Linked DNA regions of Mus musculus: regions 1, 2 and 4 are each reported to be linked to region 3. Evidence: microRNA targets listed by miRTarBase, many of them from high-throughput screens and not tested one by one. Region 3 holds a microRNA gene; each other region holds the end of a gene's coding sequence.

Region 1 (7,119 bases), not on the chromosome of region 3:
AGTTCCAGGACAGCCAGGGCTACACAGCGAAGCCTTATTTCAAAAAGCCAAACAAACAAACAAACAGAATCCTTTTTATCATTAAAACAAGTTTTGGTACAATATATTTTTTGATTGATCTAGTTATTTTATGTATATGAGTACACTGTAGCTATACAGATGGTTGTGAACCATCAAGTTCTTGCTGGGAATTGAGCTCAGGACCTTTGCTCGCTCCAGCCCAAAGATTTATTTACTTATTATATGTGTGAGTACACTGTAGCTGTCTTCAGACACAGCAGAAGAGGGTGTCAGTCAGATCTCATTACAGATGGTTCTGAGCCACCATGTGGTTGCTGGGAAATGAACTCAGAACTTTCGGACACTGAGCCATCTCTCCAGCTCCCCCCCACACCCCCCCCCCCCGCAATATATATTTTTTAACATTTTGTTTTGTTTTGTTTAGACAGTGTTTTGTGTAACCCTGGAACCTCTAATTTTCCTGCCTCTACTTCCCCACTGGTGGGATTATAAGTGTGCAACAATATGCCTCATTTTTGCAGTGCGGGAATCAAATCCAGGCTTCATGCATGCTAGGCAAACACCCTACCTACCAGGCTTCCGCCCCAGCCCAAGTTCCAGTACATCGGTATGGTTGGTTTGTAAGGCTTAAAGTTAAAAGAGCACGATACTAACTGTACTTTTATCTTTTCTAGGATGTCATTGCTGGATTCTTGTATACCATTTTAATCTTAATTATCTTCTACCCATTGGTGGACCTGATTGACAACTTCAACCAAACTTACAAATATGCGCCGCTCATCATCATCGGGCTTCACTTAATTTTGGGCATCTTCTCTTTCACCCTTGACACCTGGAGCACATCCCGAGGAGACACGGCTGAGATTCTGGGAAGTGGTGCTGGGATTGCATGTGGCTCACACGCTGCTTATACCCTGGGCCTATCCTTAGAACCTTCTCTGCACATGTTACCCTTAGCTATCCCCCCTCTTACTGTAACTCTGTTTGGAAAAGCCATATTACGGATCGTCCTAGGAATGCTGCTTGTACTGTTCGTGAGGGATATCATGAAGAAGATCACCATTCCTCTAGCCTGTAAACTCTCCAGTATTCCGTGTCATGACATTCGCCAAGCAAGGCAGCACATGGAAGTGGAGCTGCCATACCGGTATATTACCTACGGGATGGTTGGGTTCTCCATCACGTTTTTGGTCCCCTATGTATTTTCCTTTATTGGTATCTCTTGATGGAGGAACACTGTTTGTTATAAGAAAGGAGGCTACCAGCTATATCTAAAGCTATTCTCTAGGTAAAACTTGGATCAGAGGCTTCTGCAAGAATTTGACTTAAAGAAGTAAATTCTGCAGCCAGTGCATTCTCTCATTGCACACCAGATGTTGTTTTACGTGGGCTGAGCTCTCTCAGTGCTGAGAAATGGCGCGCCCATTTAGAATGTTCACCAAATGTTTGGGGAGTTCTGTGCTGTTACAAATTGTAGTTATATATACCATATATTAAGGCACACGGTGTGCAAAGGTGTGTCTAGTATATATTATATATACAACTGTTTACCTAACAACAGTGGGGTGTATTGAAAAAAATCAGTAACAATATGCAGTTGTGCCCAGGTTTTTGGAATTAATGCAGGCATGTTGTTATTAACAAATAGGCTTAGTGTTTCTTTCCTCTGGGAGCCATTTCCTAGTTGAGTTGGTAATTAGCAGACAGAAATCTGTGTGCTACCGCACACTTGACTTACTGTCTCTCCCCACACTGCCAGCTCCCTTCATTTACCCATGAACGAGAGGCATTTCTAATGGACCAAGTTTTGGGGGAAGTTTGCTGTTTGAGATTTTTTTTTCCATTCTTAAAGTTCTGTACACTGTGTTGAATGTATTTTTTTTCCCAACTGTTTTGGTCACACCAATTCAGGTACTGAATTTTATTGCTTGCTAACTGTGCCTTTCTTTTCCTGAATTAAGAGACACCATGTATACTGTGATATAAAAGTGACACTCTAATTCTATCATAAGCCACATCATCAGGCAAATATTTTTAAAATATATATATCAAACTAACAGAAGTAAATGGCCCATAACTCTTCAGTCGTTTTTTAGAAAGAAATGTGGAATTGCTAAGTTTTCTCACTAATTTATTGGAAAGCTAAATGGATAAGTATTTCCATTTTTGTAAGTATTTTTCTGTGCATTGCAAGTTATTGGAACAGTATATATATGTAAGTACGTTGTCTTGATTGTGTATAGTACAAATAAATACTTCCAGGGAGTGGAAACATCACTGAAATTTATAGATGAGACAGTGTATACCCTTCCTATGTACACAAGCCATTTTTCTAAATTATTTGAAAAGGATTGGATTTCCTACCGTTATCTTTTAATACCCCACTCTTTAGCAATCTAAGGTAGATTATAAAATCCAAACGTGAAATATCCGTAGCTAAGATTCTATTATTTTTCCCAACTAATTATTTTTACAGTGGTAAATTTGAGTGTAGTGTTAAGCTATTCTTTCCTGTCTGTGCCTTTATATTTTGAAGTGTGATTGCAATTAGGTTAACATTACGTTTATTTGTGGTGAGGTTTTTTGTAAAGAAGAGAATTAATTTTCCATACAAATGAACACCAGGTGGAGGTAATGATTTTAGTGCAATAATCTCTGATTATTTAGAAGGAAAACGTTTCTATTTTGGACAAGGAAAGTATCTGAGCTTCTTATTTTTTATAATTCTCATTGAAAGCTTGGGGGCTTGGTAGTTTTTACCCACAAAGAATCTGATCAACTTTAAGCAAGTAAATTTGGACCCTTTGGCCACCAGGAGAAGAAAGCGAGGTGCTTAGAAAAGAATCGGTACGCAGGGAGCTCAGAAGCTGCGGAGAGCAGGGATTGCTCCACAGATGTGCTCTGTGAGTTGAGCTATAGACAGGGTCCCCCACTTTGGGTCTGTTATGCTATTAATTTTTGTGTGTCACTTAAAAAGAATTAGAAAAGATTCTATTTCTCTGTGTTTGTTTTTGTTTGATGACAGTTCTATGCTAAATGTATTTTAAAATAAAAGCCGAGATCAATACCGAAAAGATCTTTCTTCTTTTTGCCTGTTGTTCACATGTCTGGTTTTTTGGGGTGTGGGTGGGGAGGGGGGTGTTTGAGACAGTTTCTGTGTAGCCCTGGCTGTCCTGGAGCTCAATCTATAATCCAGGCTGGCCACGAACTCACAGAGTTCAGCCTGCCTCTCCCTCTTGAGTGCACCACCACCTTGAGGTACACTGAACAAATTCTTAAATGTATGATTCATTCCATTTTGAGGCAGGGTCTCCTGTATCGCAGGCTGGCCTCGAGCTCCTGCTCCTTTCTCTCCTTTCCAAGCACTGGAACCTCAGGCTACGCCCCAGCTCCTGACTTTGCTCTGCTATGAAGCCTGCTGGGACTCTACAGCTCTCATGTGGAAACAAGCAGAGGGAAAATCCAAAGAGAAATACGAGATGTCCAAAAGTCGTTTGAGAAAGTAAACATTCATCCCATAGTTCATCTTCAGTTGGCCTTCCCCTGCCTCCTCCAGATCTAGAATTCTGCGTCCAGCATCAGCATCACGTGTCCTATGAGTGTGAGCTGCCTTACGCAGAGCTTCGTGGTTCCGTGGCTTACACACCCAACAGCCTGAAGAACCATAGCTATGTCCCTCACCATTTCAGTCTTGCTGCGTTTTGCACAGATGTTTAGGAAGCTGACTCCTGCTTGCAGCCAGGGACACGCGAGAGCAAATCTGATTGTTTCTTAAGGAACCTCTACAGTTTTCTTTAAGAAAAGGATTTTAAGTCTTGTATAGCTTTGACATTTTATTTGTTTACTTTGAGACAAGGTCTCTCAGCCCTGACCAGGCTGGCCTGACCTCACAGAGCTCACTGCCTGTCCCTGCATTCTGAGTGCTAGAATTTAAGGCACGTACCACCATGGCCAGCCTTTGCTCTTTTTTAAAAAACATGTATCGGTGGTTTGTCTGTGCATTTCTGTGTGCCTAGTGCCTATGGAGGCCAGAAGGTATCAGGGTCCTACTGGCGTTATAGGTGCGTGGGAGCTGCTATGGAGGTTCTGGGAATTGAACTTGAGTCTTCTGCTAAAACAGCAAGTGCTCTTAGCTACTGAGTCATCTTTCTAGACAAAATTTATTAATTACTTCTAAAATTTAGTATATTTCTTAGATAATTGTGATTATCTTGCCTGTAATCCCAGCCACCAGGAAGTGGAGGCGAGAGAAAGAGGAACTTGAGTTCTTTTTTGTTTTGTTTTTTTGAGATAGGGTTTCTCTCTTTAGCCCTGGCTGTCCTGGAACTCACTCTGTAAACCAGGCTGGCCTCGAACTCAGAAATCCACCTGCCTCTGCCTCCCGAGTGCTGGGATTAAAGGCGTGCACCACCACGCCCAGCTTTTTTTGGAATTTGAGTTCTCGAATACATAACAAGTGGGAAGCCAGCCTTGGGCTCCATAAAACCCATCTCAGAAAAACAAAAGATAGGGCTGGGTACAAGGTCAGTGGCAGACCTTTTGCTTGGATGCATAAGGCCCTGGGATTCCATCCTAATGCTTAAAAATGAACCAAAAATAAATAATTCATTATCTTCCCTATGATATCACCTCTATGGGGGGAGGGGGGAGGTACTCTTTCATGTATTTCTGCCATCTCTGGGATACAACAGACATTCAATGGCTATATTGTGTTCAATTGATTGATTATGCAGTCCTTAGATACGCTTCAGTAAGTGCATTTGTGTTCAAACATGCAAGTGTGCACGTGTTAGTGGGGAACATTTGTAGCATTCTGCAGCTTCTCAAAGATTTGAAGGAAGTTTAAAATTGGTTTTTAGCATTTTATTCTTTGTTTTGTTGGAGGTTTTTTGTTTGTTTTTGTCTTGTTTTGTTTTTCAAGAAAGGCTTTCTTTGTGTAGTCCTGGCTTTCCTGTATACCAGGCTGGCCTGGAACTCAGAGATTCTCCTGCCTCTGCCTCCTGAGTTCTGGAAATAAAGGTAATTTCCTAAAAATTATTTTCACTTTCTTGAGGTGTTGTGCAGTTATAGAGTAATGAAATATTTTAAGGATATTTGGGATCTTAGAGCAGCTTATAAAACCTTTAGAGTATTAGCAGATAACCATGTGTAATATCCTTGTTTGTTTATCCATAGACACATGGTCCCCTGTAGCCCAGGCTGGCCTGGAACTCACACTATTTAGTTCAGGCTGATCTTGAAGTCTGCCTCTCCAAAGGTCTGGGATTATAAGCAGGGGACGCGCCATCACACTGGCAATTCTAATCACATGAATATTGATTAGAAAGTACTCAGTCAAATTAGCTTAGCTATAATTTGAAGGCAATGAGAACTATTATTTGCTAGACATTCAAAATTTTCTTTTTCTGTTCTGTTCTTTTAATCCATGATAAGAGAAAATACACATGTCAAGTATTATTAACTAAGATAATTTTTTGTATTCATCTTGGGTTTTGGTGGCATACTATAGCTGCTAGGACTGCAGTTATTTGGGAAAGGAGCCCAGCAGAGTGGGGGGAACTCAGACTCCACCATCTTCTAAATGGTCCTAGAGGGTCAGGTAGCAACTCAGCACCACACCCACAGCCCTACCCAGACAGGGTGGGGAATTGCAGTCACAGGGTTAAAGAACTTTGCAACCAGCTCTGAAAGTCCTTGTGCTCTGCAAAGAAGGATTCCTCTGGGATTTGCAGGTGTGCCCTAGGAAGGAAGTTAAAAGTTTATTTTTTAGGATTTTACACTTTTTTGTTTGTTTGTTTGTTTGTTTTTCGAGACAGGGTTTCTCTGTATAGCCCTGACTGTCCTGGAACTCACTCTGTAGACCAGACTGGCCTTGAACTCAGAAATCCACCTGCTTCTGCCTCCCAAGTGCTGGGATTAAAGGCATGAACCACCACTGTCTGGCTAGGATGCTACACTTAAAAGACCACAGGACTTCTTGCAGGCATTGACATAAAAACCAGCCACACATCTGGTTCATTCGGACTTCTGGAGACTCCCTGCCTTCCTGCCTCGAGACGGGGGTCTCTCACCGAACCAGAAGCTCATGGTTTAGTTAGGCTAGCTGGTCCATGAGCTCTCAGCATCCTCTCAATCTCTACCCACAATGCTGGAGTTGCAGGCATGGGCAGCTATACTTAGCTTTTTATGTAGGTGCTGGAAATTCAAATTTAGGTCTTCATGCTTGCCAAGTAGGTACTCTTTCTTTTTTGTTTTTGTTTTCCCCCACTGAGCTGTCTCTTTAGCTCTAAAACAGCCCGTTGCAATAACTACAAAATAGGTGTATGTTTTGAGCTAGAGAAATAGCTTGATTGAAAGAAATTGCTTTCATTGAAAGCACAAGGACTTGCCTAAGTTGGATCCCCAGAATCCATATTAAAGTTGCATATTGTGACACAAATGTGTAAATACATCAGTGAGAAGGCAGGGACAAGCAGATCCCAGTGACTTGAAGGTTGGCTGCCCTGTCCTACTTGACTAGCTCCAAGGCAATGAGAGACCCAGTCTCAGAAAACACGGTGAATGACCCCTCCCTTCCACATGTACACACCCCACATTTGGACACACGTGAACATGAACATCCGTGCACCACCCAGAAACAGACGTATCATCATATACTGGGCCAGTCTTTCTTTGAACATACCTTTTATCTCTTAAATCTGATTTTATGTTTGCTGGCATAAAGCAGTTACAAATTTTTCTAGGTGTTTGACAAAACGACACTGTATCAGTTTAATCACTCTGCTATTAATTGACTTAGTTGAGAAAGGATTTCCAGCCCAGGTTGGCTTTTTACTCCCTATGTAACTGCAGATAACCTTGAACTTCTCCGTTTTGTCTCTGCTATGGTGGGGTTATAGATGGCCCTTTCTACACCATCACACCTTAGCGATGCAGCACTGGGAGTCAAACTGAAGGCCTGTTCCCAGCACCCACATGCTGACTTGTAACCCTCTGTAAACTCCAGTCCGGGGTGTCCAAGGCCCTCCTCTGACTCTTGCAGGTACCAGGCATGTCCATGTCGCCTTTACAGAAAGACAAAATGCTTATCCACAAGAA
Region 2 (7,119 bases), not on the chromosome of region 3:
TTAGCTTTTCCCTTGCCCCTGGATGGATTCCTGGAATATTTTTTTTTTTCTAACTTGCTTTTTGAGACAGGACATCATTGTTTGGCCTGAAACTCGAAATCATAGACCATAGTCTTGAGCTCACAGATTTGCTTTGCCTCTGCCTCCCAAGTGCTGGCACGGAAAGGCATGTGCCTCTACTATCTAAAACCTTTACTTTTTTGAGGTTCAGTGCTTCAAGTTTGTTAGCTGAAGGAAGGGGCACAAAATGTGTTTATCTCCTCTATTGGAGGTGATCCAGTGCTTTCTGTGGTATTTGTAGAGGACACATGTGCAGGAGTTCAGAGACATGGAGACATGTGGAGGCAGAGTACACACCACCCTGCCTGACTTGAAGCAGATGGGCAAGAGAAGCCATGTGTCAAGAATAACTCAAAGGAACCCCCTTTGAAATTTAAAGAGAGAGAGAAAAAAATTCTCGTAAAAATGGAGGACTTTTAGTTTCCACAGGTGAACATTTCAGCTCAAGAGACAGCTGAGACCACCTGGGCTCGCTCAGACGGGGCTACGTTTCACAGAAGGGGAAGCAAGGGGAAGCAGACTGCACAGCTGGCAGCAGCTGGCTACAGCCAGCCCAGGCTGCTCTTTCCTTCCTGGCTTCACACCAGGTGCTCCAGGGAGGCAAGAGGCCAGGACGGCTCTGAGCATCACTTGAGCGCTTTTTGCACCACAGTTACAGATGCAGAGAAAGTCGTGCCAGGTAGGCTCCTTCACAGCCAAGGAGATGGGGACATCAGCATGGAAAGGCAGGCTTTCAGCTGTTCTGGCTTCCACACCAGGCTGCTTCTCCTTTTAGGATGAAGCCCAGGATGCTTGCCTCACTGGCATTAAAAGGCTGCTGACTTACCTGGCTCTGCCAGTCCATAGACACTAGGGATAAAAAGACAGATCCCAAGTAGCCCGGAGCCTCGGTGCAGTACAGTTCCCTGCTGGGAACAGGTTGGCCCTGCGCAGGAAGAACTGTGTAAAAGTCTCAATTACTGAGACCACAGTATTTGAAATCTATACAGTCTGTTGTGAGAGAGCCAATGACTTGATGACCAGGGTTTGATTCCCAGAAGCCTCGCAGTGGAGAGGAGTTCTGCCTCTGGAGAGTTGTCCTCTGACTTCCACATACATAAAGTAAATACAAATGTAATAAAAAATTACACAAAACACAGCAGGATCAGTGTGTGTGCTGACACCCTCCCAGCTAGGTAGGAGGCTGAATCGGAGCTGGGCTCCAGGCCAGCCTTTTGATAAACCAATCAAACCTGCGAGAGTGGCCATGAGACTTTCGGCATCTATTCCTCTGATGACGAACCAAGGTTGTATTACCACCGATTCCCTGGCTGTGGGCTGGGACAGATCCTACTGTACTGCAATAGCAGTTGGGCGCCAAGCTCTGAAGGCCCAGCTAGTGACCCGGCACACTGAGCAGCGGCTCTCCTGATGAAGGAATAGCGGCAGACTTGCATTTCTGTCACCGTGGCAGCAGAGTCCAGTGTTGCTGATACCACAGGTCAAACTGGTATGAAGAATTGTTCTCAGCCTTTGTAAGCTTGTGTGGAGAGGCCATCTGTGAGTCCACCCTGCTTGGAAGGATGTGGAACTTGGGGGCTAGCTCACACTGCTGAAGGAAGGCTGAGGCCACCCACCAGGCTGGTGGCTGTCAGGGAAGCAGGAAGCTTCACCAAGTAGTGAGGACTGAGTCCCGATGAGCACTCAGGTGGCCATCAACAGTCACCTATGGACTATGGATGTGTTTGTCAAAGGCCCTGGAAACATCCAAGCTTGCAGATTAAAAAAAAAAAGTTATTTAAGCCGGGCGTGGTGGCCCACGCCTTTAAGCTCAGCACTTGGGAGGCAGAGGCAGGTGGATTTCTGAGTTTGAGGACAGCCTGGTCTACATGAGCGAGTTTCAGGAAAGCCAGGGCTACACAGAGAAGCCCTGTCTCGAAACAAAACAAAACAAAACAAAAAACCCATAAAACCCCCCAAAACCAACCCCCCGCCCCCTCCCCCAAAAGATTAGAAGCAGTGGGCTGGGGAGATGGCTCAGCAGTTAAGAGCATTGACTGCTCTTTCAGAGGTCCTGAGTTCAATTCCCAGCAACCACATGGTGGCTCACAACCATCTGTAATGGGAATCCGATACCCTCTTCTGATATGTCTGAAGACAGCAACAGTGTACTCACATACATGAAATAAATAAATCTTAAAAAAAAAAAAAAAGATGAGAAGCAGCATATTCTGAGTCCTTGCACAATTCCAGATCACCAGGGCTGCATTCTGAGTCTGCATCACACATGGCACTGGGCACCAAGGGTGAAGAAAGCTCCACTTGCCACAGGAGAGGGACTGAAGGCACTGAGGACAAACGGCAGGTGTGCACCTGCCTCAGCAGGTGGAAGGAGGCAGGCCAGAGAGGAGTGTATACATCCCACAGGTGGGCTGCTCTTGGCCATGACTGGCCTCAGTACCCATGGGGAAGGCTGGCAAGAAGGTAACCTTCCTAGAACTCTGAAATGAGCTAGTCTCCAGCTATGTGCACAGCATTAAGGCTAGCCCAATGCTGCCAGCAGGACTCCAGTCTGTGAGCGAACAAGACGACCCTCGAGAAGTGAAAATTCTCCATATGAACAAAAGCTTGCGAGAACACCAGAGGAAATATTATCTCTATTGTCTGTTAATATGTTACAGAGATAATAGATAATGCGTTATAATCTATTATTATATTTTATCTATAGGAAATGTAAAATACCTTATAGGCTGACACAAAGACAAAAACTAATCTACACAAAGAATCAAGGGATCTGTAAAGGTGTGAGACAGAGGTAAAAGGGGGCTGGAGAGATGGCTCAGAAGTTAAACGCATGTATTGCTTTTGCAAAGGACACATGTTTGATTCCCAGCACTCAGACCTGTAACTATCTCCAATGCTTCTGGCCTCCAGGGGTTACCACACACATGCACATACTTAGACACATAGTTAAAATAAAACTGAAAAAACATGTAAAAATATGACCACTGGGGCCCCTTCCCTTCCCTTTTCAGGGCTGGGCCTGAACCTAGGCCTCCTGCAGAGGGAGCTCTGTCCCATTCACATGGTTTTAGTCTTGTTCTTATCTGAGACAGGGTTTCTCTGTGTAGCCCTGGCTGTCCTGGACTCACTCTAATGACAAGGCTGGCCTTGAACTCAGGGCTGTCTATCTCTGCCTCCTGAGAGCTGGGACTAAAGGTGTGTGTTACTACATGAGGCTTTCATCTCTCCTATTTGTAATAAGCAGTTACAAGTCTGGTAAGGCACTCAGCATATCGAAGTGTCATTTCATGGCAGTAGCAGCAGAAACAAGGCAAGTGCATGGAGCACACACAGACACACACCTGCTTGCTTTCATTAGCTGCTGAAATCAACTTGCATTTCTGAGTAGGAGTGTTAAGAATTAAGATGTTGTAAATTCTCAGGGTAAGCAGGAAAAAAAAAATCATAGGAACTTGAAGTAGTTCAATGAAGTGTCTGTTTCACAGCTCCAAGTGTGACATTTGGGGAGGACCCGGGGACCCTGACGATGATCAGCTGACATCTGCTGTTCTGGATGAAGCACCAGGGCTTAGCATACCAAGGTCGCTTCAGGTCCATGTGGAAGCCCCTAGAAGAGGTGACACTGAAGGCTGAGGGAAAGGCAGACACAGGCTCCAGGCCCGAGTCTCCCAGATCTGGATTGGATGTAACAGAGAAGGGGGACACAGGTGGGCTGTGTGGGAGAGCAGGGGACAGAGGTTGGAAGACGTGCTAGACAAGTACCTGCAGATAAGCTGAAATCCTAGAGGCAGGCCACACTTTTGAGTAAAATCAGTAATTATATGTTGGGAGTGCTGGGTATGACGACAGACACCCGCTGTACCCACTGTGGTACACTGACTGAGTTTGAAACCAGCCTGGGTTGCATGGCAAGACACCCCTCCAAAAAAGGAAACAACAACACACTAGAAACACCCATGAGAAAATCCAAGTAGATAAAGCGATAAGGATAAGATGGGGACAGAAAACTCACCAGGCAGCAGAGTTTGTATATTCGTTTTTAAAATTCCTTTCTTCTCCCTCTACCTCCTCCACCTCAGATCTGATCCTCCTGCCTCAAAGGCAGTTAAAGCCATGAACACATAAAGTGAAGGCAGAAGAAAGGCCCAGTGAGAGGCTTAACAAAACAGTCACGCTTAGTTTCACCAAGTCACTGAAGACACCAGGAAACCCTAGGACTCAAACATAGCAGCCAGGTGTGGGCCATGTGGCTGGAAAGACAGCAGAAAACAGAGGCGCCTGGGGGCTATTAACAATGTTTAGGAGAGCCTACGGAGGGAGGTAGCTGATGAAGAAACAGACTGGGGAGAGCAGAGCAGATGGCTGCTTTAGCAAAATTCCATGTAAATCTTACCTTGTAATGTGATTTTAATTATTTTATGTGTATAAGTACACTGTAGCTGTACTGATAGTTGTGAGCCATCATGTGGTTGCTGGGAATCTGAACTCAGGACCTCTGCACACTCCAGTCTAAAGATTTATTTATTATATCTAAGTACACTGTAGCCATATTCAGATGCAGTTACTGATTGCTGTGAGCCACCATGTGGTTGCTGGGATTTGAACTCAGGACCTTTGGAAGAACAGCCAGTGTTCTTAACCGCTGAGCCATCTCTCCAGCCCTTGAAATGTGATTTTACTTGTACTTTGAGATTCAAGTTTGAGCTGTAAAATACTTGTAAACATAACCCTAGTTTTACACTTGTGCCTCCTGTAGCTCAGTGAAGCTAAGATGACTTTCATATGCTAAGATAAACATTATCTTTTATGACACACTATCTCGAGCTGTCCAGTTCAGCTAGAGTGGTGACAGCAAGCTCCAGGAAGCCTGTCTCACCTCCCCAGTAAGGGCTTTAGTAAATACTGGGACTCTGATCTTAGGTCCTCACGTTTGCACACACACTTTCTTTCCCAACTGAGTCACCTCCCCAGTCCTTGCAAGATCGCTCATGCTCATTTGTGACAATATTTACTGCCACGATGGTAGATGAAGAGGAAGGAATTTATCACCTCTCAATTCTTGGGCAGAGGCCACAGGCCTGGTCACCACCCTTTAAAGGATATGCACTTCATTACGTGGGCTGTAGCATTTGCTTGGTATTAGAGATGGTTCTGTGAAACTTTAACTGGGAAGGGGCTTCATTTACAAAGCAAGCTCGTCTTCCCTGCAAAGGCTCAGGAAATACTGTGGGAAAGGGAGCAGAAAGAACAAAGGAGATGGAGGATGGGAGTGCAGTAAAATACTGTTTACTAGGCATGACATGGCCACTGCAGTTAACACGGAAGATAGAGACCAGATGAACTAACATGCCAACAGGAGGCAATAACTGGATGCAGGAGAGAATGTGAAAATGTAAGAGGGAGGTGTTGGGGCCAAGTGAGGTAAAAGAGCCGGGGTTAATAGAACCAGGGAACACTGTACAGCCAGGCAGTGGTGGTGCACGCCTTTAATCCCAGCACTTGGGAGGCAGAGGCAGGCAAATCTCGAGTTCGAGGACAGCCTGGTCTACAGAGTGGGTTCCAGGACAGCCAGTGCTGTTACATAGAGAAACCCTGTCTCGAAAAAGCAAACAAAACAAAAACAAACGATGTGCACGCCCATGCCCCATCCTAACATGGTTCCTGGTTTAAAAACCACACCAAGTAGCTCAAAGGCTTAAGGTTTGCAGCTATTTTATTTACAAGTATACATTTAACACAATGAAATAAACACTGATATATTGAAGCCTAGTTAATAGTAGTGTAACATGTGTATCATTTTGATGATTACATTATTTTAAACAACAAACTACACTGAAAAAATTAATGCCGATAAAATTCTTGGTCATAATATTAAGAAATACAATATATAAATTGAAAATATGATTGTTTAAAATTTGAAAATGGAGGTGAACTCATTTGGACAGAGTCAGACGTTAACATAATCTGAAAGGGGAGGACCCCTGACCCAAATGACATCTTTCAGGTTAACAGAAGAAAACAGAAGCATAGTTTTATCTTCAAGGATGACGGGCAGTTTGCTTCCTCAGGTGGAATATATCCCCAGTGTCCGCAGGCTCTGCAGCAGAATTGTCACATCACCGAGCACGAAGACTTTCCTTGTGAAGCTGCTCCATCAATCTTTTCTGCTTCCAAAATTATCCTTTTAAAAACATCAACAGCAGTCTGAAGAGAAGTTAAGAACAGTGACAGGATTAATTGTCAGAGACTCTGGTTCATGACCAACAAGACTGAGGAGGGCAGGCACCCATCTGTTCTTCAGGGCCATGTCGGGGCTGGGAGGCCCCTAGAAGCCCCATAAGCCACATGGCCTTTGTCAGAGCAACTAGCTTCCACTCTGCTCTGCCCTGACTCAGCCATGATGCTCTCTGGATACTTGGGGTCTGGCTCTACTCCAGATGCAGCCTTCCTTGTACCCTCTGCAGCTCCTAAAAGGTTCCCTTTCTCCTAGGACTTCTGGTACCCCAGGCCTCCAACAGGGAGGTACTCTTTTTGCCCTTCCTGCTCCTACAGAGCCACTCTTCTCTTAGCGCTCCCACATTTCCAGTGTGACTATGTTCTGTTTCTCTGGGCTGCTTCTACAGATGCTGCAAGTCCTCCATCACCCACAGTTAGTCCTCCTGTGTACCATGCCGCCAATTACAAACCCGTCAGGCCAAGTTCCTAGTAAATTCCACTCCTCCCAAGCTTGGTCTCCTCTTCTCTAGTGACTGCCACCCTGGTCTTAGTCCTTTGGTCAAACTCCTCTGGCAACTTTAGAAACATCTTTTTCTGAAGGGTGATTAGAACTGTCAGCCTCTGTCCTTTAAATCTAAGAACTATGATCATTCATAGATTATGAAATTAAAAGCTACTGTTTTTAAGAGACAGGACCTGGCTCGGGTCACCTCATTATCAGAAGTTAACTCACTCTAGTATCTATTTTACATGTCCCACACAGTTATTTATCTGGCAGAGCTGGTCTGACTCCTTTGACAGTCCTCTTGTTCTAAGGCTAACTAAGCACTGTTCTCTAGG
Region 3 (7,119 bases):
AGCACGTTGCCTTAACTTTTGATTCTCTTGCCTCTACTTTTCTACTGGCTGGGAATAAAATCTGTGCTACTAGCCTGACTTTTAAAAGATGTGTGTGTGTGTGTGTGTGTGTGTGTGTGTGTGTGTGTGTGTGTGTGTCCCTCATGCCCACAGAGGCTAGAAAAAAGTATTAGAACCTCTAAAATTAGAGTTACAGGCAGTAATGAGCCATTTTTTATGGGCACTGGGAACCAAACTTGAATCCTCCGAGAACAAGCACTCTTAAAAATTGAACTACCTGTCCAGCTCCAAGAATTTCTAACTGCTTAATTAAAATTCTAACAAAAAAAGCTTTTCAAAGCTTAGGTAGCAGAAGTAGCACATTTTATTTACATGCATTTAAAAATAAAATGTCCTCAACAACAACAAACAGTATTTATCAATGATGGAGAAAGGTAATGAGAACCAGAGAGGTGAACCAGGAGAGATGAAGCGCTGGCTCACCTTTTGGAGATACTTTGCTCTCTCTTCAGATTCCTGAATCCTTTGGGCTTTAGCAAAGATAATTGCATCCTCTAGAGAAAATAAAACCAAATTTAATCTGACACAACTTTGTCATAATTCTTACAGTTTTGACATGAAATTGGATATGGGAGAATAGAGTAGGAAGGGACACAAATACATACTGTCTTGACATTATAATGATTGGTAAATAACTGAAGACTGCATTAATTATTCATGATGTCAGGAACCCTCCCATACCTTTACATGATGAGTAAATCATAAGTGGAGATAAGAAACAGCCTCTAAAGAGAAAGTGCCTGTGGGACCAGGAATGCTGGGGAGAAAGTGCCTGTGGGGTCAGGGATGCTGGAGAGAAAGTGCCTGTGGGACCTGGGATGCTGGAGAAAAAGTGCCTGTGGGTTCAGGGATGCTGGAGAGAAAGTGCCTGTGGGGTCAGGGATGCTGGGGAGAAAGTGCCTGTGGGACCAGGGATGCTGGAGAGAAAGTGCCTGTGGGATCAGGGATGCTGGAGAGAAAGTGCCTGTGGGACCAGGGATGCTGGAGAAAAAGTGCCTGTGGGATCAGGGATGCTGGGGAGAAAGTGCCTGTGGGGTCAGGGATGCTGGAGAGAAAGTGCCTGTGGGGTCAGGGATGCTGGGGAGAAAGTGTCTGTGGGACCAGGGATGCTGGGGAGAAAGTCCCTGAGGGGTCAGGGATGCTGGAGAGAAAGTGCCTGTGGGACCAGGGATGCTGGGGAGAAAGTGCCTGTGGGACCAGGGATGCTGGAGAGAAAGTGCCTGTGGGGTCAGGGATGCTGGGGAGAAAGTGCCTGTGGGACCAGGGATGCTGGAGAGAAAGTGCCTGTGGGGTCAGGGATGCTGGGGAGAAAGTGCCTGTAGAGTCAGAAAGTTATCTTCTGGGTGAGTATGTGAGCCCTGAAGCAAGGTGTGGGATATGCAGCTTAGTTATATCACAGTGTAAATGTATACTTCTAGGAATTCTAAGATAATCTGGGGAGTCTACATATAAAAAGGCATTAAAACTTGATACTTACTGTCCTGATCAAAGGGAAAGGGCTGGACAGAACTTTTCTCTAAGAAATACAAATGAAGAGAAAGTTATTGGAAAAGCTGACATGAACAGTATTTTAATTTCATATACCTATTAATATTGAATAAGAACACTTTATACATCCTTGGCCCGAAGGCTTGTCAGTCAGGAAACAGGGTTCCTAAATTAGACTCTGCCAACAACTTTTTCTTGGGCTTTTAAATTTGAATTCAATTTTATGTAAATGCTTTCCTAATCTAAGCACCATTTCCTTAGATTAACCCATCCTCTTTGCCAAATAAAAGCCATCATTTAAGGGACTCTTAGAATTTTTTTTTTTTTTTAAGATTTTCATTTTATTTATGTGAGTACACTGTAGCTGTCTTCAGACACACCAGAAGAGGGCATCAGGTCCCATTACAGACGGTTGTGAGCCACCATGTGGTTGCTGGGAATTGAACTCAGGACCTCTGGAAAGCAGTCAGTGCTCTTAACTGCTGAGCCATTTCTCCAGCTCTAGAATGAATTTATATGTAACAATGAGATCCTTTACAGTGGAGAATTGCAGCAGTTTTAGAATTGTTTGTGTATTTGCATATACCTATTACTGCCTGTTTCTGCTTGTTTGTACTTCTCAATTGACTGACAATTAGACCAGGCAGTTTCCCCTTCCAGGAGGTAGCCTTGCTACTCACCTCTCAGAACGACTTTAGAGTTCCGCGCCACCGGTAGCCTCTGACTGCTGCCTCGGGTCAGCACGAGCTGAGATTCGGTAGTGGGGTACATGGACGCCCCGAGCCAAAACTGCTTAGCCAAATTGGCATCCTGCTCAGAGCAGCCGGTGAACACCAGTAATCCAGGGGAGCAGATTTCCTGGGATTCCTTCCTGCCGCTAGGACAGCCTCTGGGCCCCGTTTCCATGGTGACTCAGGACGCTTTCCTTAGCTCTGGCGTCCCGCCCCTACCGGAGAACCGTCCTGTTGGTAACTGCCACCACCGGAATGCCTGTGTTTCTTCTTCCGTAGATCTGGGGTTCCTCGAGGGCTTGTGGCCCATCAGCAGCTGGCTTCTGTCGAGGTCACAATTTTCGGGGCCAGTCAAGCCTTAAGAGTAAAAGCCTCAACTTTGTGATGTGTACAGTCCTGGACTGTCTCTTAGATCCTCAGCCAGCGTCTCCTCCTCCCCCAGATAGCCCAATAATGTGAGCTTTAAAGAGCGCCTTCCTCTTTTGGACAAGATTGCCAAGGCTTCGCACTCTTACCTCTGGGGAAATTCTCAGGTTTGCATTGATACATCTGCATAAAGCGCTAATCTAGAACTGGGCCGAGAAGTACCGGTGGATACAGCTTGTGTGATTTAAAACCTCTCAAATCTTTTATTACAGATATTAGGAAACCAGCTGGTTTTAAATCGTGTTCACTAATTATTCCCACGAAAAGTTGCCTAGAACGCAACTGTTAATACCTTAAAAAATATACCTGGTTAAGTGGGCTGAGTTCCCTTGCCCCATGGAAAATTATGAAAACATTTAACGTTCCCTTCCAGGTCACAATCATGTGTGAGACGTTTCCCTGGAGATTTTGTCTGTATAGCAACTAACCATTTAATGACTTTACGGGGTTGACAGGAGCTGAAATGGAGATCCTAAAGCCAGTTTTTGGAAAGGAAATGAACACGATTGCTGAGATTTTCGTGGCGCTTTATTTTTTAGAGTGTTATTAATATGTCAGGCAAAGTCCAAAGATTTATAATCACAAGTCAATATAATGACCAAATCAGCTAAGGGATAATTTCTATTTTTCCAATATATCTAAAAATCACAAAAAATGTACCCCACACAAATTGATACATTGTATACTTAGCAGCTAAGGGCTAGCGGTTCCCCCCCCCCCCCCAAACCACTAATAGTATGGTAAGAATATTTCCCTATGGCTCTGTCCTCACCAAAATGACGATTCACAGGAGGCTCAGTCGGAGGAATTTCAGTCTTTTTACCTGGCTGTGTGGTTAGTGATTGGTACTATTAGCAATCAGCTAACTACACTGCCTAGTAACTAGACTCAGAAAAAAGCATGCAGTCTTTAGCTGGTGCTCTCAGACTTTGGTGTGACCAGAGCAAATCGTCAGCCAAGCTGTGGTTGACTCTAGTCGCTGCCTTGGTGATAGCTTTCTCAGAAGTGGAAATCAGGCAGTGAATCACAGCAGCAGCAGGAACTGTTCTGGGGGGGGGGGGGGGGGGGCTCTTCCTGGCCTTTTTTTTTTTTTTTTTTTTTATGTTAAGGCCGGTGTATACCGATTCTCTTTACACATCACTGAACCGTTTTTGCTCTGGCTCTTACACACAGGTAGCCGAACGGTCCCTAAAGGAGGCCGCCGGTCTCCGAGGGTTACTTGCACTTAGACCTCGTGCTCCCGGCCCTTTGCTGACGCATCCTGGCTCCGGCCTCGGCTTTCTGCGGAGTCAGTGGGGCTGCAGCGCTGGCTTCTCCTCCCGCGGGCGGCGGGTGATGCTGTGCCTTGTTTTGATGGCAGTGGAGTTAGTGATTGTCAGCACCGCACTACAATCAGCTAATTACACTGCCTACAAACCGAGCACCGGGCGCCCGCCACTGCAGCTCCCGAGGGTCGGGCCCCTCGCCCCCTTTCGCCACGGTCGACAGGCGAGGGCGGCGGAGCGAGAGGTGCCTCAGGCTCCCGAGGCCCCTCCACACCCAGCAGGGCCGCGCGCGACCCCAGGTGAACCCCCAGGCGCTGAGGCCCCCTGTCCCCGCCGTCCCCCCCGAGACCCCCGACTCAGCCCGGACCCCAGGGCATCCGGCCCGAGTCCTTCTTCCCGCAAGCCGGGTCTGACCCGCCTCCAACAACTTCTTCACGGCTTCCAGACCCAAGTCTAGAGCCGGTTCTGTCCAGCCCGCGCGCCCCGCAGCTCCTACTGGCCGAGTGACCGTGGCTCAGCGACCAACCGCCCTTGGAACCCCGAGGCCGAGGGGGCGGGGCGAGTGGGGGAGGGGTGGCAGAAGCTACCAGAAGGGGCAATGGGAGGGCTCCTGCAGAGCCTCCTGGGAAGGGGCCGGGGAGATGGAGAGACAGATTCTTGAGAAGTTTATCTTCACAGTGTAGTTACTGCTACATCGAAGAAAGAAGCGCAGAGACCTACATCCATCTCTCCTTCCCAATATATTGCCCAAGAAGCCCCAGGCCTCCTCACTGTTCATATGCCCATTCTCAGAAACCGCTTCCCAGGCGTCTCATCTGGAGCCTTCCTGCCTGAGCAGGCCTGGGCACTCATACCTGCAGGATTGCCCTTGCCTGTACCCAAGTTCTTTCTTAGGACTACCTCTTACAGGGCCATACAGTGAAGTGTGGGCCACTCTTCTGGTCAAACATTGAACCAACACCCTTGTTGGTAGGTCAAAGTTGTGGCCCTTATAAGATCAAAGACACAGTTTTGATGATCTCCCCGTGAGCCTTGAGGATATCTAGTCTCACTTTGGGCTCCTGTTTTATTTAAATGTTACAAATCCAGCACCTAACAGGCGTTTGTCTTACTACCCATCAGACAGTCTAGGTGGTAACAAAATGTGAACACATTATTTATTACTCCAGACAGTATAAAGTTGCTAAACTGATAGATTTTCCTAATAGAAAAAAACAGGTATGGGTGGGGGTGGGAGGTGTGCCAACAAGAGCTGACAGACACCATCATGGAGGAGGTGAGAGTTCAGGTAGATCCTTGAAGCAAGGGTAGATTTGGACATTAAGGATGAGGTCTGTAGAAGCCCGAGAAGCCATATCTTCTGTCAGTTACATTCCCCTTGTTTTTGCTATTTTATATCTGATAACGGGGTGCGTGTTTGTGTATATTGGGAATAGGAGGCGCTGAGGGGACAGCATTTCTGCGCCATCTTCACTAATATTTCTTTCCTTTAGTCTTTCCTCTCCTTTCCTTTAATTAATTGAGCCCAGAGAGGATATACAGTATTCTCTGATTGCAAACTTTGTGGAATTCAGTAGGAAGTAGCCGTCCCAGACTGTGGTCTTCCTGTATGCTGTATGACACCCATTTGTATTGATCCAACAGTCTTGCAGTCTACAAAGGGACATTTCTTAGCTATACACTGATACCTGTAAGCCCAGCAAATGGTCTTGTAGATGCCACTAATTACATGAATATATGCCAATCATCAGGAACATTCAACACAAATTCCAAGTGGAAACCATTAAAACCCAAGAACTTCCCAAGAATAAACTTGTGTATATTTTAACATTATCTTTGAAAGTAAAAGACAATGTTTTTTTCCTTCAGAGTCATTGTTTTATGAAGGCTTAAGTGAAAGGAAAATGAAGTAGAAAATGCCAGATTATTATAAAATTAACTTATGAAAGACATTTGTAAATAACTATCTTGTATTCAGTCTTCTTGTATTTGAGAAAAGTATAATGTATCCTACAAAAGGTCATTTAAACGTTCAAATATAAATAAAAGTAGTAGAAATAGCCTCCATCCCATAAACACTATGAAGAGTTACAAGTTTTAGGAGGACATCATTAAAAAATCATTTATTTTGCATTTTGCTCAATTTCACTCCATGTGTCATGCTTCCACCCAGCTTAGGGATTTTCTCTATTAGTAGCATCTTAAATATCTTACCTGAGTTTTATTGCTTCCATCCAAAGCTATCATTGCATAAACTGTCTTGAAATTTAGACTAAATTTTTTTCTTCAATGATAAAAAGTAAAATGATGAAAAAAAAATGCGTGTGCCCTAGTTCTGTTAGAAAGCAACAATAGAAAAGAATGTCTGTTCTTAGGGTTGCTGTTGATCCTGCCCACAGTTACTAGAGAAACTCCAAGGATCTTATTGCATCTGCTGGTCATGCCTAGGCATGTCTAGAGACCAGGGAGACTCATGTTTTAATCTAAGTAAGAATGCCTGTGGTGTGGTTAAAATGCCCAAGCAGACCATTACATTTGGTTAGATAGATCCAGGAAGGCACCTTGAGGAGGAGCTGTTTACTGCTTTAATTTCTGGGTTTTTGTTGATCTGGGAGATGGGGTAGGACCTTTGAGGAGATGGGTTGATAGTATTGACCGGAAGGAAACCATGAAAAGTATCAAAAACAAGAACTTCCTGCGTGAATCTGACAAATTTATCTTGACTTAATTTATGACTCCTGTAAAAGGGCCATCGAGAGATGACTTCCTCCTGTCAGTACACACAGCACATCGTCTGTACACGTCCTCTTTGTTTTTAGATAGGGACTCAATTAGCTCAGGCTGGCCTTGAGCTCTTGTTCTTCTTGATACAACCTCCCAGTTGCAGGCTATTTCTGCAGCATTTGAAGGTTCTTGTTAGGGAGGAAAGAATGAAGGACACTAATTAGAAAGCAATGATCTTTAGCCACTTCTTTTAAAACATTTCAAAAATGCATACTTTCCTAGGAAATAAAACCATGCATTTTTTTATGCAGACTATCAAATGTCAGATGACCATATTAATATTCACGATAGTATGCTTAGGAACTAGTTTATAAGTTGAAGCAAGGCTGAGTTGAAGTCAATTTAGCCCTTGAATAATTACAAAT
Region 4 (7,119 bases), not on the chromosome of region 3:
CTTCAGTTCTTGGGAGCTCTGACCGCCCTCTTCTGGCCTCCATGGGTACTGCATACAACAGTGTACAGCATACAGGCCAACAAACCACCCATGCACCTAAAAAAATCTAAAGAAGAAGGAAGACGAAGCCTGGGAGCCTACATGCTCTGACCCCATAGCTGTCAATACACTGAAGACATGCTCTTTGTTCTGAATAAAATTTTGTTTTCTACATGTTTCCATCACTCCTAGCTGTTTGTTTAATGAAGTTTGAAGAAGCAATATTCCTGCCTGCCAGGACTCGGCAATTTCCAGACATCCTGAGGCTAAGCCATGGTATAGAGATGTGGAAGCTGTTGCCTGTGTGGTCCTCACACAGCCTAACCCTGGTCTTACACCCTCTTGGTGGGGACAGAGGAGAGGTCTGGGCTTTATCTGTTGGGGACAGATGTAACTGGCCTTCCCTGTCTAGGTGCTCTATTAAGCTTAGGCCTGGTTTTAGCAATAGTGGTTTTCATCAGAGTGGTTGCAGCTAGGGTGCCCCAATCTTTAGCAGTGTACTGATGAGGGAAACCGGCAGATGCCTAGAGAAATGGGAACCCTCCCTTTGATTTGTGCTGTCTGAGCATCATCCTGTGTCTGGCACATATCAGAGCATGAAGAACAAGGTTCTAGGGACAGGAGGAGCACTTCTCCTATGCCCATAGCAGCTCTTAAACATGTACCTGCAAAGGTGTCAGAGAGCCAGGTTCCAGTCTGGCCTCTGCCTTTACTGTGCAGCCATGGGCGGTCCCTAGACCTCTCTGAGCCTTAAGTCCTTCACTTTTGCAATGTGAGGACTAACAGTGAGTTCACTCTGAGAAGAAACAAGGATCATAGAGTAGCCAGGCTCTTAGGGCCTCCATCAGTGGGCACTACTACATAGCTCTAGGCAGGGCAAACATTTGGATGGTAGCTAAAAATGTTCACCAGCTCAACACCTGCAGGCCCCACGCTGTTGGGGCAGCTGCACAGGATGGGCATTCTCGCCAGGGGCTCTGGAGGCTGCCCCTGGCACCAGTAATGCAGTGAGTAGCCTCTGGCACCTATAGGATGGCATTGTGATTGAGATGTGCACACAGCTCTTAGTACTTCATGTGGCCCACAGTCATCCACACTTAGAGTGGAAACTCAAGGGTTCTTTGGAAAGTTTGTTGTGTTGGATGGTGTTTTTCTCAGGCAAACAGGTGAAGGAACGCTTCATTGAAGCGGACAGAGGTGAAAGACTGATGCAGACTCAGTGAAGACATGAGACCAAGGGGCATTTAGCTATGCAAGCAAGTCAAGCTCGGCCTCCTTCACTGTCCCTTGTGTCCTATTTACACTCCCTCCAAACATCACGAGTCCTCCACAGGTCTTGCCTGGAGCACACGTCGTGCCTCAGTACATGCGTCTGTCTCAGCTGACATCACTCTGCCAATCAGCCTGAGTCTGTTGAAGCGACAAGAAACTGCAGCACACCAGACTTTTGTGTGTGTGTGTGTGCATTTCTCTCCATGGAATCCCCACAAATGGAGCTCAACTCCACAATGTAAGGCAGATTGACATATGCGTCTTGTTAGCAAAGAATCCTTCATCTCGTGTCCTTTCACACGCTTGCTTTAGCAGAAACGTTCCTTCACAAGTCTGCCTGAGCCTTTCAACTGTATCTGCGTCGATGGATCATTCCTTCACGTGTTTGCCTTAGCCAAACACCATCCGACACAACCAACTTTCCAACGAACCCTTAAGTTTCCACTTCACATATTCACAGTGTGTTTTGTGTGTACACGGGTGTGTCTGTGCACATGGAGGATCTTGGATACTGCAGAGCTGTCACCTTGTTTTTTGAGACGGGGCCTTCTCATTGGCCTGGGGCTTGGCCTGTGAGGCCGAGGGATCGTGTCTCCTCCCTGATGCCAGGTTTACAAGCATGTACCACCATGATCGAATTTTTTTCCTTGGGTTCTACGTCTTCATGCTTATGCAGCTAGCATTACTGACAGATCCATCTCCCCAGACCTAGAGGAGTCTCTGTCCTTACAAATAACACCGAGTGACAGGGCTGGCAGGTGCAGGGATCACCCAGAGCCCGCAGGACTATGGAGAGATTAACACCCCAGTTTGTTTTCAAAGGGCAGATGGCAGCTGAGGGGCTCTGGGTACAATGTTGCCCAGGGTGCAGTGTTGTGGCAGGTCTGGCCAGATACCCCTCTGCTGTTCAAGTTCTGGCCCTGGGATCCGCTCCTCCCACCTCTGGACACCAAGCCCCTCAGGAGAGTGCCAAACTCTTTCCCTTCAGGAAGGTCTGGGTGTGGTCGGGGTGGATCTAGTCCCCACTCTTGCTGCCTACTCTGTGCCATGCAACTCGGGCAAGCCCTGGGGCCTCCCTGAGCATCCTGTCTATGAAGGAAGGTGAGAATGGCCTTAGATGTCCTGAGGGAAGGTACCAGTGCGCTGGCCTGGGACCCAGTGTTTGTGGAGAGCACATACTCAGCTCTGTAGAGTCAGGAGACCTTAAGCCCATCGTGGCCCTTGGTGGGAAAGGTCAAGGTTGGTCCTTTGGAGACCCCAGCAGTGGCATAGCTTAATAATGCTTGCTGGGCAAATGTGAGCAGCCAAGTTAGATTCCTGGAACCCATAGAAAAAAGCCAGCCATGGTGGCACATGCTTAACATCTTGGGATCAGAGAGGAGACAAGAGTATCCTTAGGGCTCACTCGCTAGCTACCAGAGTAGGCAAGCCCCAGGCCAATGAGACTAGAGGCCTTCTAGTGTGGCCATGGCTTATCCTCCATGTCTACCGCCAACCATGGCTGTCCCATCTCCCTGCCATGCCTCTCTGAAAGTTTTCCTGATGTCACATTCCTAATACAGTCAAGAGAGACCCCTATTATAGGGGGCTCAGGAGACCTGGTGGGACCCCCCCCCGAGACAATCCCTTTACCTCAAAGACCATGGGAACAGCCACTAACTCCCAGCAATGGAGCTCCAGCTCTGTAGCTGAAGAGAGGCGTGGTGGGCTGAGGTGACAGTATCGGATGCTAACCTGAGCATCCACATCACTTTGGCCGTGATGATTTGAATCCTGACCCAATATCTACTAGTTGTAGCAATTCAGACATGATCCTTAGTTACCTCTGAGCCTCAATGTTTCCATATATAAAATGGGTGTAGTGACAGTACTCAGTCTACACTCTATGAAAAGCATCCGATGGAGCCCAGGCCAGCCAATCCTGTATCACAGCCTGCTCAGCAGCAGAAAGGTCCCACAAACAAATTTTTATCTTATTAGTCACTCAGAGGTCCTGAGGAGACAAGCTCGGTTTACACATGTGGGTCAGAGGTTAGCCAAAAGACACACAGCCAGGAAGTGGCCTTTTCATTCTGATGCTGCCCTGGAGGCTGTAGATAAATGGCAGCTGTGGCCATTTATCCACCTCTGCCTCCCTCCTTACAATAAAAGCCCTCGGAGAGGTCTGGGCCACAGGGAATACAGCGGGGAGGGAAGCCCTGACTTGCTCACAATTCAGTGGCTGCCTTCCACCCATTCTAAGAACTTGCAGCCTCTGCAGGGTGAGCCCACCAGGGGGCACTAGAGTGGAGGCTGCCCCCAGATAGCGCATTAAACTAGGATACTCTGTGGATGCTTGTGTGTGAGCCTTAGTGTCCTTACCTGGGTTTGTGGTGAGTTAAACACACCTGCTGCAAAGGGAGACAGGCCACCCATCATGAAACAAGTGCCAGGCAGTGGGCTCTGCAGGTACCATCTGGGGACCCCCTCCTCCAGGCAGATGCCAAGCTTGGTGTCCCCACTGACTCTATTTCCTCCTTCATCTGGGTTAGGGTTGGAGTCGAAGACACAGCCAGACACAGCCCAATCTTGATGGGAGCTGCTCCCTGCCCTGCCCACCCCACTGGCTCCCCGAGGCTGCTCCCCACCCTGGTCAATTCACTAATCAGCAGCCTTGCGAGCCTCATCTTAGATGTAACATTTGTTATTTTATTGGAAAAAGCTGGTATTAACATATTTATAATTTTATTCAACAGTTGGATAATTTGTGAGACACCGAAGAAAAAAAAGAATGCACCTATGAGCCACAGAACCCCAAGTGACTGGGCCTGACTATGTTACCAGCACGTAGATACCCAACACCCTCCAAGGGCGTCACCCTCAGAGAAGAATCAAAGCAGAAGAAAACAAACTCAAAACCCCAACAATGTCGTAATGATTATGGGAAATGCCACGTACTCAAGACCAGAGAACTTAAGCAGAGTAAAGTGGCAAAGTCTGTGGCTTGCAAGGCTCTGGTCCTTCTGCCATTTTTCACACCGCCCCTCCCCCCTCCGCACTTTTTCCTCGATCAATACACACATTATTATTAGCAGTCCGCTCTGAACCTGGGTGATTTCTTCGGGTCCCAAAGACTTATTTTTTTTTCTTCTGAGATCTTTTTCTGTCTCTCTTTTTCCTTTCTACTTTGATACCCGACATTTCAAACAGAAGTCTGGAAACTAGGGCCATGTGCAAGACCCCTCCTTTTGAAGACCGTGTAAGATTTGACTTTGAAGACATTATGTGTGAAACCTATGACCTCATAGCAGCCTCCAGCCTCCAAGGCGAATCTTCTCTAACGCCAAACCGCAAAGGCAGATGGGTGTGCCAGAGATCCAGGCCAGTGTGTAAGGCCCTCTCACCAGGATTTTGGCTTCAATGGGATTAAATACGACTGGCCACATTCTTCAACTTCTTTACAAGAGGGGAAAGTCGCCGATCTTTTAATTGCTAGCTTGAATCAGGGTCAATATGTACATATAATACTGTCCAGAGCGCCTGAATTTTACAGTGATAAACATTCTTCATTCACGTTGACTTAGGAAAAAAAAAGCCAAAAAATGTAATGGACCCAGTTTCTGTGTAAATACATGGCCAGAAGTGAGTGTGCATGCGGTTTGTGCTTTGACACACACAAGGATACCTTGATCCACTGAGAGAGAGAGAGAGAGAAAAAAAACTCCATCACATCTGTTTCCTGGGTGGCAGTCCATGTTGTAAAAACCAAAGCCCCTCTGCTCTCTGCTTCCAGGGTCAAAACGCCAAGCCCTGCAGTTCTGGGATTTCAGGAATGAGGATGGAGTAGGGGTCACTATGAAATGAATGGCCACTCACCTGTGGCCCTGAGGAGGTCTGAGAAAACGTCCTCTGGGGCTGCCTGGCTGCATGCAACCTCCTTGGGGAGCAGCCGGAAGGGTGAGGAGAAAGCTGCAGGTACAGTGTCGGTGACGTGCATCTTGAGAGGCAAGCAAGGATGCCACTCTTCTCCATCTTCTCTCTCTTGTGACATCTTGTCACCAGCTCGCCTGCACTGAATGCCTGGCGTGGAAATGTTTCCCTTCTAAAACCTTCCCTTGGAATGCTGCTTGAAAACCAGTCACCCGTGTGTGGCGGGTTGGAAATGGGACACCAGCTCAGCCCTCGGGGTATGACTCCCTAGGCACCCCACTTCTCTGCTCAGAGCCTTGGTTCCCTCCTGTATTCAGAGGGGACGGTTACTAACCCCAGCTCCAGCAGAGCCTGGATCTCAGCTGGGAGTTATGGAAATGAGCGGACACCTGTCTCGTGGGCATGAGGATTCTACAGTCAGGGACAGGACCGGCTGTCGGCCATGGGGAAGATGACTGGCTAGCATGGAAGGGTGACAGCAAAGCCATCACAAAGTGGGCTGCGGGGATCCAGCCACAGCCACCATGGGCTGAGCACCATGTCCAGCGTGCAGTGGGCTCACAAACGGACGGCAGTGAGGTGAGGGCCACAGCCACACAGGGTCCCCAGTCCTGCTTCTCAGGACTTGCCTTAGCCTGGAAAAACCCACCCGAGGGACCCGGCCCTGCCTCACGATTAACCCTACGACTTTGGCTCTGCTTCTCAGAACCTGCCCAGGCCTGGCACCTAGAATACCGAAAGACATTCCAAACACCCAAGTGACAAGCTGCCACAACCAGCACTCAGTGAGAATTCTGTCCAAAATCCAACATGAAGCAGCAGCTCTGAGCCAGCGCACATGGCTGGCTGGCTCCCTTGAGGATCTGCAGATCCTGACTGCCCTATGAACTTTCTCTGGAGCCCCATCATGGACCAGCTTGACTTTCCCTGATAGGAACTGACCCACCCTGGACATGAATAAAGTCCTGATAATAATGAAAGGCCCAGCCAGAGACAGGAGGGCCGTAAACAAAGGAGCCCTGGACCGGGCACATCTGCTTTATCCGCCTGTAACTGGGGCTTCCCCCTTTCCTTTGTTTAAACTGGCAATTACCATCCAAGCCAACTCCAGCCTTGGGACTCATGTCCCCACAAATGGCCACCACACTCATCCTGTCCTCTTACAGAGGTGGCCGGGAGGGCCACTGAGGCCAGCTAGTGCATGTCAGAGTTGACCTTATCCTGGAAGATGTACAGGTTGTTGGTGGCTGCAATGGCAATGATATTCTCAGCTGGGTGCCAGGCCGTGTGCAGGATCTTCTTGGTGAAGTCCAAGCTGTCCACACTGATGTCGTCACGCCGCCGCTTGCCACCCACACACACGCGCCTTGGCTTGAGCACCGCTCTGGGTTTGCTGCTCTCCCGCGAGGCTTCCAGTGTCACGTCCCTCTTGGTGTTACGGTCGAACATGCGGAAGAAGTTGTTGTAGGCCCCTGTCATGATGACACTGGAGAGAGAAGGAGAGGAGTCAGTGTAGGAGGAGAGAGGGGACAAGGACACCCCAGAGCTATGGGGTGAGGCAAATGCCACAGCAGGCAAGGGGACCCTGGAGACAGACTTCTGCCCCATACTCTCTGCTCCTCTCCTAACCAGGGGCTTTGTCTAGTAAGGCATGGAGCAGGCTATTACCATGATACCTTCAGGAAGCAGGCCTGGGCCTAAAGGAGGTATCTGGGGTTGTTCTAAGGAAGGCTGAAAAAGCTATGGGGAGAGGAGGAGAAAGAGGCTGACTGCCACAGAGGAGGGGATATTCACACCGTTTTAGTGGGTGAAGAAGAAGGTAAGCAAGCCTACACCAGTCTTGAATGTGTAGAGCATAGAACACTTGTGTGTATATTTATGTGCGTATACTTGTGTGTG

What was found. Region 3 holds the annotated microRNA mmu-miR-34b-5p (AGGCAGUGUAAUUAGCUGAUUGU, at 4,094-4,116, opposite strand). A microRNA usually pairs through its seed, bases 2 to 8, with sites in the 3' UTR of a target mRNA and lowers its output. Matches are read on the target gene's strand: a 7mer-m8 pairs with bases 2 to 8, a 7mer-A1 pairs with bases 2 to 7 and ends in A, and an 8mer does both.
Region 1: miRTarBase lists Sgpp1 as a target of mmu-miR-34b-5p. Seed matches in the 3' UTR shown: 8mer at 1,772-1,779.
Region 2: the mRNA of Rheb is a reported target of mmu-miR-34b-5p. Seed matches in the 3' UTR shown: 7mer-m8 at 5,530-5,536.
Region 4: the mRNA of Ppp2r2c is a reported target of mmu-miR-34b-5p. Seed matches in the 3' UTR shown: 7mer-m8 at 5,791-5,797 and 7mer-A1 at 5,035-5,041.

What each region holds. Positions count from the first base shown.
Region 1 is chr12:75,710,241-75,717,359 of GRCm38, reverse strand. It overlaps Sgpp1 (sphingosine-1-phosphate phosphatase 1), which reads left to right. Exons shown (of 3, transcript NM_030750.3): 3 at 696-3,112. The coding sequence ends at 1,247. Gm40890 (a long non-coding RNA gene) reads right to left here. Exons shown (of 3, transcript XR_872828.2): 2 at 6,945-7,119; 3 at 5,320-5,760. Among named protein-coding and RNA genes, the nearest start is that of Gm40890, 12 kb to the right of the region's middle.
Region 2 is chr5:24,797,490-24,804,608 of GRCm38, forward strand. Rheb (Ras homolog enriched in brain) reads right to left here. Exons shown (of 8, transcript NM_053075.3): 8 at 5,334-6,267. The coding sequence ends at 6,175. Among named protein-coding and RNA genes, the nearest start is that of Rheb, 41 kb to the right of the region's middle.
Region 3 is chr9:51,099,517-51,106,635 of GRCm38, forward strand. Mir34b (microRNA 34b) reads right to left here and starts at 4,129; the gene lies at 4,046-4,129. It overlaps Hoatz (HOATZ cilia and flagella associated protein), which reads right to left and starts at 2,562. Exons shown (of 6, transcript NM_177702.4): 1 at 2,229-2,562; 2 at 1,538-1,576; 3 at 484-554. The coding sequence starts at 2,454. It overlaps Mir34c (microRNA 34c), which reads right to left and starts at 3,594; the gene lies at 3,518-3,594. It also overlaps a transcript of Btg4 not described here.
Region 4 is chr5:36,951,938-36,959,056 of GRCm38, reverse strand. It overlaps Ppp2r2c (protein phosphatase 2, regulatory subunit B, gamma), which reads right to left. Exons shown (of 9, transcript NM_172994.3): 9 at 3,979-6,706. The coding sequence ends at 6,415. Among named protein-coding and RNA genes, the nearest start is that of Gm52813, 15 kb to the right of the region's middle.